Daphnia pulex: one gene and its partner. The protein of the gene in region 1 binds, or shares a complex with, the protein of each later gene. Links are inferred from orthologs where the notes say so. Each region holds a gene or a part of one and is shown in the gene's direction. Other genes may lie near its edges.

Region 1 (4,615 bases):
GTCTTTCAATTGTTTTTTTTTTTTGTTTTCAACACTTGGTGTGTGGTACTACAATGTGTTTGTCTTGAATTACCAACAGAGTTTTTCGCTGGATCAGACAGTCCGTACCGGGAATCGCTGGACGAGACGCTCAATCAACTGTCGGCCGATGAGGATCGTGACGTTTCGTACTACGCCACAGTCAAACGGAATCAGACGCAAATCAATTCATTGGATCTTCCGACGGAGGACAACAACATTGCGTGATAGCCCCAATTCAAAGAATACAAACACAAAAAAACTGTACACATTCACACACATTTGATTCTTTTTGCATGATGCCAACACAACGAAAAACAAAACTTGTCGACTCCTCCCTTCCATCCTTTTTTCCTCCTCACCTCTTCTCTTATCATCTTTGATCTCTTTCGTTTTTTAAATAATCAGCCCCCCCACTAACACAAGGGAGTTCCCCCCTATAAAAAGTCTTGGCGCGGATGAGTGTTGCTGTGTGGTGCCTTGTACAAACAAGACGATTACCTGTGTGTTGTGTAAGTAAATCACGCAATTGGTGCGGGAGACGAACGCCCCGATTTAAAAACAAATGAAATTCAAACAAAAATCAATTCATTCATGTTTCCCTCCTTTTTTTAAAAAATAAAAAAGTTTTTCCTTTTTTCTTTTGCAAGTAAAAAATCGTGTAGAGAGATGGGGGGAGGAGGGATTGTTGTACAAGTTGTTGTCCGCTATGCCCTTACTGTGATGTGGTGGTGACCGCCACCTAACCTGATTGGTAGACGGAAAAAAAAATACATCAAAATAATTTTTGCCTACGTGCAACCGCGTTCTTGTCGTTCTTCTTCTTCTTCTGGCCCCAATATCATTTGGCTCCCGAAATAATGGAAAAAATGTGCTCGCTTGGTTTAATGAAGCCATCGATAAAACAAAAGTGCAAACATCTTAATGAGGTACACACGCGAGTCGAAAAAGATTAAAAAACAAGGAGTGGCCCCCGTCTTGTGTGGGTGGGGGAGCTCGTTGTTTACTCGTGTAACAAGAGAAACGGTTCTATATTTATCAAATAAAAAAAGCTGCAACCATTTTCTTTTTTACCATTGCTCTCTCCCCTCGCCCCTTTTTTTTTAAAGAAACAGAGCCAACAGCTTTGAAAATAGATTTTCCTTAGCTGATCGTCAAGACGCGCACTGATGACGACAGACTTTAAGGGAAAAAAAAAGTTATTTTTTTTTTTTAAGGAAAAGTAAAAAAACATGAGACAAATTTTGTGGTTTTTTCTCCATTTATTTATTTTTTAAACGGAAAGACGATTCCATAGCTTCTTCCGGTTGTACTTGAATTGAAAAAGAACTTTTCCATGGGGTTTCTCACGGTTTTACGCCCATTAAGCAAGTCAGAAAAAAAGAAAAACCTCCGACACCATCACGGAATGAATAGCTAATAGAATTCATTCAATCACACCAAATTGTGTGAAAAATGAACTCGCGAGTTTATGTAAATTAAATATCAAAGTGAATAGAGATAATAGCGGGAATAGTTCCGGAGAAGAAGAAACGAATCGAGAGTGGGTGTCTGCGTACCAATCACGTCAAGGGAGCGACGATTGGCCGAAATATCTTTTCGAGACGATATTTCTATTCGAGCAGAGTTGACTCTGCTGCTGCTGCTGCTGGCGCGGTGGAGGAAACCCAAGGGAAGGGCTCCAGGTTTATTTCTGTCTTCCGACGACGCAATCACTTGGCTCGGCTAACAGACAGCACAAGCACAAGCTGCTTCTGTTTGTTGGACAAGTCGAAGCTCGAAAATATGGCGGCTCCTAGTTTTCGACAAGAGATTACCTGTCTCGGAATCCTTGGCGCAATAACTCGCAAATACATCATTTCTCTCAAGTAATTACGAGCCAGGTGAACGGCTGAACGCGTGACTCAGCTCGCCGTCACACGTAGACCCTTTTTTACGATGAGGTTTTTCGGGGGAAATAACTTTAACCAAAACCGTCAAGCAATTTGTGGCATAGAGTCGACCATTTTGGGCGTCTTCCCAAAAGAAAAAAGAAAATGTTGACTGTGGATGATGTGGCAACGCGGTGCAGAGCGGGAAAACGACTGCTGACATCTCGTTGTGACGATCAAACAACATTGAATTCTAATCTTGTCTTTACAATTTTCTTTTCATTCTAATTTTGACTTGTAATCAACTCTTGACGACTTTTATAATGCCTCACTTGCATTTTAGCTATAGTCCAAACTATTTTTCTATAGAAGACATTGTGCTTCAAGATGTCAGGGTGTCTTGCAAATTCGAAGTGGCTGTTCCCAAGTTAGGTAAACAATAGCTTGTTTATTAGATTTTAAGTTTATTGGTTTTTAAATAGTTAATCATGTAATTAAGCTGATTACAAAGTTATATCTCCTTTTCTTCCAATTCAGGTATGCTTGATCAGTCGGCTGACGATGAAAACCTCAAACAAGGAAGCAAAGTAGAATTGCCGTTCTGGATGGTACCCACCCTTCATGCCAAAAAAATTGTAACACTTGAAATTCCAAGGCACTACAAAGTCAATTACAGGTAGTTAAATATCTTGACAAAGTTTCGTTTTCTGGATTAAATCCAATTTCACTTCCAAATTCTATAGACAGATCCTCCAGGCAGACAGTATAGTTGTTGACCTCCACAAATGGGGACCCTATTTCTATGATCTGGGACTTCATGTGGCAAATCTTGAATTAAAGGATTCTCTTGATATCAAGAGGAGCCTGGTTGAGGTTGATTACCCAAATTCTGTTTGCATATAACTTTCTCTAACTACTACAAATTTTTGTGTGCAGACCCTTCGTAACCGTTTGAGACAAATTATGGACATGTCTCAACATTCCACACACCACGAAACAGTACACATAATTGCAAACTTGGATGAATTAGAAAGAAAGTTGTTTGGAGTGGGTCAGTTGAGTTACAGAAGCTACAAGGTATTCATTAATATAGATTTTGATGCATCATTTCTCTATTGTTTTTGTAATCACTTTTGCTTCAATAGGAATGGGTCCGAAGAGAATCCAGCAAGATCAACACAGCTACTCTAGTAGCCAGTCACAGAAAGAGAAAATTTGCAGAAGTGACTGTTTAAGATTCAATTACCAGTTTGTCAGATGTATTTGGCCCCTATCTAATTAACAATTATATTGAGCAACTATGAAGTTCGACACAGTCAATCAGAAGCAATTAACTCGTTTGTTTTTAATAGAAATGACGCACATTTGAATGGAAAAAAAACCCCTGATGGTAGCAACACGATGGATATGTTGAGTCCCTGTTATAGTAATTGTGCTACTCATCTTTGGAAAATATTTGCCGCGCAATTCTCAAATCGAATAGATTATCTCTTAAAACTTTAACTTAACAAAACAAAACCCTTTTTTTCTCTTTTTTTATCATTTTTCTTTCTTTTTGTAAAATTCGGGAACGGTCAAGTATCTATGTGTACGCATTGTCCATTCCTTCCGTCACCTCTTGTTTGAAAGGCTGGTGGTGGTGATTGGACAATCCTCCCAAGGGAAAGGCGTCATCCTCAGAGTCTGGAGACATGGTCAGCGGTGGTCCACGGTCCATCATCATGGACTGATGCCCACCTAATCCGTTTTGCCCATTCAGGAGAGGAAGAGTTGTAAGAGATGGACCCGTTGAGTGTGTGGGAGACGAATCTGCTGAAAGTGGAGCCATTGCGGTCAGTGCAGATGGGACCACAACGGGCGGATTGTACCCGGACGAAGGGGCAGAATTGTTTGCATTACCAACCGATTCAAGTGAAGCTCCTTCAAATGTTGGTAAGATTGTGTGTTTAATCGATCGTTAACCAATTCAAATAACTGTTTTTTTTTTTCAAATTCTATTAATACCTCCTAGAAGCATTTCCTGTAGCAGAGAATCGATGCGGGTCACTCCAAAGTATCTGGCTTGCTGGATCTGCTCAATCATTTGCCAAGCAACTGACTGGAGTGGCGGCAAGGCCAGCAGCAACTCGCCGAACCGACCTCGACTTGCGTACTGTCGATCGGCCACGTAGTCTTCCAGCAACTGTTGAATCTGGTAGCGAATCCCTTTTACCCTGGCCGGCTCTCCCAGACCTTTTGCATCTGGTGCCATCCCAAAGGCTCACGTCAGACTCAAGATTCAAATAGTAAGTTGGCAATCGACGTTTTTTTATTACTAGGATCGAAGAAGACGATGGCCTTGAGGCAGGTGTACTCCGTATCATCCATTTGAATATCTCGTAGAGGTTTCACAATCTCGTCCATTATTCGAATGCCAATATGGTAAATCTCGATCTCTGCATGTTTGCCAAATAGGAATCATTAACAACATCTTTTGGCAATAAGGCAGCTAGTGTTAACCTCCAAGTCCAGCCGATTGTCTGGGCATGATGGAATCGTTGCCCAGTAGAAGAATGTCTCTTAAATGCATAGATCTTCGAGCAACTCCCAAAACGAGGTTTTCTGCCGCGTGGGCCCTCAATAACGCCACCTTGAAATTCGAATTCGACATCATCAAATTGGCTAAAAACGAAATTTTTTTTAAAATGTGTCTACCTGATCATCCAGTGGCAATTCGCTGAAAACGG
Region 2 (5,623 bases), on another chromosome or scaffold:
GTCGGTTTCTTCTTCTTCCGCATCATTGCCGGATTAAATCGGCAGTTAAACACGCCCGGTACGTACGGCGGATTCTCGGTGCAAAATACCGTGTGACCATTTTGCTTCACGAACGTACCCGAGTTCTGGATGAAAAACCAAAAATATAATAATTACAGATTCGATTGGTAACAGAAAAAGAAACGGGTGAGCAACTAACCGGATTACTGCTGCCGTTCTTCGATGGGCCATTCGGATTTGAAGTACCGTCATCAACGTAAGTACCGGAAGGCGTAACGTAAGAATAGGGCTCGGGCGGATTGTTGTTGGTCGGGTACGACGATGCGGATGAGTAACTTAACCGCTTCACGTGGAAATATCGATAATAAATGCCTAAGAAAAGGACGCCAACGACGAATGAGAGGAACATGGTGACGGTGGCCAGCTCGTGATACCAGGGCTCCTCACGATGAACGCCAATGAGCCACACAGCCACCAGAAGGGTGTTCTCCAAAAACATGGTGACGTAAAAGGCGGCCATTTTCATACGAGGATTGACGTGCTGCAAATTAACGTAGCAAAAGATGTAGACGACTGCAATCAAGGCGCAATACGCGTCTTTCTTGATCTTGGACATCTTGTCGCCGTGGAAGACGTTGCGTGGCGATATCAGCCAGAAGAACATGCTCAGCCAATGTAAACCTATGACCAGGAAAACCCAGTAACCGTAGACAGTGGCGTAGACCGTCAAGGCAATCGCTCGAGATGTTACGGTTCCTAACCGCCATAGGAACTGGAAGATGACGCCAAGCCAGGTCAGCACGAGTTTGTGGACGTTCTGTCGTCGAACGTTCTTGTTGAAGGACGCCAATGCCCAGCACACACTGACCAACGACAGCACTGTGGACACTATGTTCAAGTCTTCGACGTCGTCTCGCTGTGGCTTGAGCCATATTAAATACAACTGCACCAACAACATTGGTGCGGCCTCGATGAAAGCGTGAACCAGCCGGAGCATGCATAGGTCTCGCACTTCATGTTTCACAATTCGCAAGTCCACCGGGATGAATAGTTTAGAGTAGCGCCACAAGACACCTATTCCAGCTAAATGCATAGCTATTAGCGATCCTCTGTTGACATCTTTCTCGTCATTATCGTCGTCGTTTGCTGGTTGGCAGGAGGAATGTCGTTCCAGAAACCATTTGGCCGAAAGCAATTGACTGACGATCAACGACGAGGTGATGAAGAACACAGCTAGGGATAGCCAAACATATTGCTGCTGTTGGTATAAAGTGTAAGCAGTGATGACATCGAAAACGACGTCGCAAAAATACGACGCCATCGAAATGATGTTGAACAACACATCACACAAAGGTAGAAATTCTTGAGTCATGATGGCCAAATGAGTTCTCCAATGAAGGGTATTCTGAAAAAAATAAAATAAATATTATTGGTAACTAACTATGATTCTTAAACTATGAATGAACTTCACATATCATATTTAATCACCTCTACATGAAATCTTTACTGCAAACTTCAAAAGTCTTAATAAAAATAAACCAAAATTGCTTAAACCATAAACTAAGAAAACTGTTAACAAGTACTGGACAAGCCAAACAATGGAATAGCACTGCACTACAGCTGTCAGTTGGATGCTTTTACATTGTGTTAATACTCAAAATACAACATTTTTCAGCTGTGACTACTTGTATCAATTTCCTTTGAATCACTTGTTTCAAATTGTATTAGAGATAACTTTGGCTATTTGATCCTTACTTTTCACAGCTCAGGGTAAGAATTTTGATGCACGCACAGGTCACAAACCACGTAGATGACATGAGCAATCGTAGGATCTCTAGGATTCCAGATAATTAGAACTGAATCAAACACAATGAAATTTCACACCATAAATACCTTTTGAGCAATCAATTTAGCTTCAAAGCACTTTATAATTCATTTATATACAAATCACGCTGGGCGTTTTGACGTCTGAGACCTTGGACTCCATGTTGTTTAGGCCCACCTGGCGGCAAATATGTCAATCGTATTATTTTAATCATTTATTGATTTAAAAAGTTGTTAAAATTTATAAATTCTGTTTTTTAAAATGAAAAATTATAATTAAGTGTTTTATATCCGTTCCTATCAAGTGTTGTAGTAAAATTAAAGTAACCGATGTTACCTGGCAACAATTTAGGTACGACTCCTCCTCCTCCAAACATTTTGCCGCGAAGCCTTTCTCTGTTTTCTGTAAGTCTCAAGCGGTCAAGCCCAACTGCCCAAGACCCGTTATCGTTCCGATAGTTCAGATTCGTGTATCAAATATCATTGTCGTGTTATTGTCTTTCTTCAATTTGAATAAGATTTTACCCTTGATGAAAAATGGCAAGTCCAGCAAAAAGTCATGCTAGTAGCCGTACTTCAAGATCTCGACGTCGTTCTGCAGGAGGTAATAAAATTACCTAAATAATTTATGATTATTGAAACCTCGATTTCAAACATTTCACATTGAATCTAGCGATGTCGGATATTTCTGATGTTGCTCCTTTGCCTTCCACTCCATCTCATCATGGTGATAATGATATGGATATTGGAATGAGTCCTGGAGGAGGTATGTGAATATACTTGTATTTTAAAATAGCAACAGGGTCATCTTCAGTTCTGTATTATTTCCAGCTATTAGTGAATTGGATTTAAACTCTCCTCTCAATTATGGAACTCCAAGTTCAATTTCATCTTTGAGAACTCCTCGCTCTGGGGCAAGAGGGACCCCTCTACATCAACGTCCTGATGTTCGTTCTGATAGGAAAGTCCGCCAAGTCAATTTGGGAGCTAATGAAGTATTACTTTTTTAACTAGTTCTTATTGTTTCAATGTGCTAATCCAAATTTTAGCAGGGAAATTTGACCCCAATCAAGGAGCAAGCAGAATCAGGAGGGCCACAGTTGGTCATTTGGGGAACTGATGTGGTTGTGTCTCAATGTAAAACTAAATTCTGTCGCTTCATCAACCAATTTTTGCAAAGTGATGAAGAGGATTTAGGGGAAAACATGAATGTCAATGAACCTTACTACCTTCAAGAACTGCAACAGGTAAGAACTGATTCCTAATCCCACAAAATATTTCTTTATTATTATAAAATCTTTCTTTTAGATTGCTGATTTGGAAGATCCATTCTTGAATCTGAATTGTTCACACTTGAAGGCCTTTGACGCTGACCTTTATCGTCAATTGATCTGCTATCCACAAGAGGTTATCCCGACGTTAGATATGACTGTAAATGAAATGTTTTTTGAGAAATACCCAGATGTCATCCTGCCTCATCAAATTCAAGTCAGGCCCTTTTGTGCCGACAAAACCAAGAACATGCGTGCTCTAAATCCTGAAGGTATTTCTGTTCTACCGGTTCAAGAAAGAAAAAAAACCTATAATATTTTTACCCTTTTAGATATTGATCAGTTAATCACTATTAGTGGTATGGTTATTCGCACGAGCAATATCATTCCTGAAATGCGTGAAGCATTCTTTCGCTGCAATGTATGTAGCAACACGGCTTCTGTTGAAGTTGATCGTGGACGAATTTTGGAACCAACTCTTTGTGCCATGTGCAACACAGGGCATTCCTTTTCCATCATTCACAATAGATCACAATTTTCCGATCGTCAGATGGTTAAACTTCAAGAGTCACCAGGTAGAGATAGATTTGCTGATCACTATTTTGCAATATTTTCAATTTTTTAAAAATATTTAACGGAAATTTTATTGATTAAATAGATGACATGCCAGCAGGTCAGACACCTCACACCGTGTTTGTCTTTGCTCACAATGACTTAGTGGACAAGGTTCAGCCGGGCGATCGCGTTACCGTGACCGGAATTTATCGTGCTGTTTCGTTGCGCGTAAACCCAATTCAAAGCAATGTCAAATCTGTTTATCGTACTCATATTGACGTTGTACATTATCGCAAAATCGATGTCCATCGCCTTCGAAATCAAACCGAACGAGGGTATTTATTTATATATTTTGTGTAACATGTATCTTTTATCGATAATTATTGTTTAATTCATTTTAGGAAAGAAACGCGTTTTTCTGCTGAACGCGAAGCATTACTTCACGAACTTTCCAAGAAACCAGATATTTATGAACGTTTGGCTCGAGCCATCGCTCCATCCATTTACGAGAATGAAGATATCAAAAAAGGAATTCTCCTTCAACTCTTCGGTGGCACCAAAAAAGATTTCACGGAAGTTGGTCGTGGAGGTTTTCGCTCGGAAATAAACATCCTTCTTTGTGGTGATCCTGGTACTAGCAAGTCTCAGTTGCTGCAGTACATCTTTAATTTGGTCCCACGATCACAATATACCTCTGGCAAAGGAAGTTCGGCTGTTGGTCTCACTGCGTATGTGACAAAAGACCCTGAAACCAAGCAGCTTGTCCTTCAAACTGGTGCTCTCGTTCTGGCAGATAATGGTATCTGTTGCATTGACGAATTCGATAAAATGTCCGACGCCACTCGCAGCATTCTTCATGAAGTATAAAGTTCATTCTAGTTATTAGTGGATTCAGCGTTAATTTATATATATTTGTATAGGTAATGGAACAACAAACGTTGAGCATTGCTAAAGCTGGTATCATCTGTCAGCTAAATGCTCGTACATCGATCTTGGCCGGAGCAAATCCAATCGAATCTCAGTGGAACAAAGACAAAACCATCATCGAGAACATTGAACTGCCTCATACATTATTGTCAAGGTAGTACCATTCATCTGGATATACCATTTCATTGTCATCATAAAATTTTATTGGTTAAAACAAGGTTCGACTTGATTTTTTTGATGTTGGATCCTCAAGACGAACTTTATGACAAACGCCTTGCTCGTCATTTAGTTTCTTTGTATTACAGTGTAGCTGAAGAAAATGAAACGGATTTCATGGTATGTTGCCATTTCTTCGATATTTACGATCAAATCTATTATTAAATTTACGCAACCTTTAGGAACTCGATGTCTTACGCGATTATATGGCTTATGGTAAAGAGCATGTTAATCCGATGTTGAATGACGCAGCCACCGTTCGTCTGGTAGAGGCCTATGTTGAAATGCGACGAATTGGAAGCGGTCGTGGTCAGGTGTCTGCATACCCTCGACAACTGGAGTCACTTATTCGTCTTTCGGAAGCTCACGCTAAAGTTCGTTATTCAGAAGTCGTCGAAGTTTATGATGTCGAAGAGGCTTATCGGTAACAATTTATATATGGTATTTCATATGGAAGAATACTTAACTTAGTTTTCCCCCTATAAAGCTTACATCGTGAGGCGCTGAAGCAATCTGCCACCGACCCCATGTCAGGCAAAATTGATGTCAACATTCTTACAACTGGGTTAAGCTCAATGGCTCGGAAGAAACGCGGAGAAGTGGCTGCTGCACTCCGTAAGATGATAGAATCAAAAGGCAAAACCAGTTCATTAAACTATCAAAAAGCCTTTAATGAATTCAAAGCAGGATCTGCTGTGGTAAGTTAAGCTTGCGTGTATTTCAAGGATAATTATAATTGCTTGTGGCTCTTTTACAGATGATCACCAGAGACATGTTCGAAGATGCGTTGAAAGATTTGCAGGATGATGGAGTTGTAGTCGTTGCTGGCC

What was found. Proteins that work in one complex are often made in the same cells at the same time.
Region 2: DNA replication complex GINS protein PSF3-like (region 1) and DNA replication licensing factor MCM4-like share a complex: the UniProt entries of both Homo sapiens proteins name them as parts of the CMG helicase complex. The link is inferred for Daphnia pulex from reciprocal best matches to the Homo sapiens genes GINS3 and MCM4.

What each region holds. Positions count from the first base shown.
Region 1 is NC_060022.1:871,631-876,245, forward strand, and holds DNA replication complex GINS protein PSF3-like, read left to right. Parts: upstream 1-2,189; 5' UTR 2,190-2,212; coding exon 2,213-2,321; intron 2,322-2,426; coding exon 2,427-2,565; intron 2,566-2,632; coding exon 2,633-2,762; intron 2,763-2,825; coding exon 2,826-2,966; intron 2,967-3,034; coding exon 3,035-3,124; 3' UTR 3,125-3,392; downstream 3,393-4,615. Other genes in the region: serine/threonine-protein phosphatase 4 regulatory subunit 1-like, read left to right, coding at 80-246; hepatocyte nuclear factor 4-gamma-like, read right to left, coding at 3,472-3,809, 3,894-4,130, 4,205-4,324, 4,389-4,518, 4,584-4,615. UniProt on the Homo sapiens protein: Required for correct functioning of the GINS complex, a complex that plays an essential role in the initiation of DNA replication, and progression of DNA replication forks.
Region 2 is NC_060020.1:7,894,408-7,900,030, reverse strand, and holds the start of DNA replication licensing factor MCM4-like, read left to right. Parts: upstream 1-2,214; 5' UTR 2,215-2,361; coding exon 2,362-2,428; intron 2,429-2,497; coding exon 2,498-2,590; intron 2,591-2,655; coding exon 2,656-2,819; intron 2,820-2,873; coding exon 2,874-3,071; intron 3,072-3,132; coding exon 3,133-3,367; intron 3,368-3,427; coding exon 3,428-3,670; intron 3,671-3,753; coding exon 3,754-3,985; intron 3,986-4,051; coding exon 4,052-4,511; intron 4,512-4,570; coding exon 4,571-4,731; intron 4,732-4,795; coding exon 4,796-4,913; intron 4,914-4,975; coding exon 4,976-5,217; intron 5,218-5,280; coding exon 5,281-5,491; intron 5,492-5,492; exon of another isoform or gene 5,493-5,550; coding exon 5,551-5,623. Other genes in the region: uncharacterized protein LOC124192073, read right to left, coding at 1-125, 200-1,372. UniProt on the Homo sapiens protein: Acts as a component of the MCM2-7 complex (MCM complex) which is the replicative helicase essential for 'once per cell cycle' DNA replication initiation and elongation in eukaryotic cells.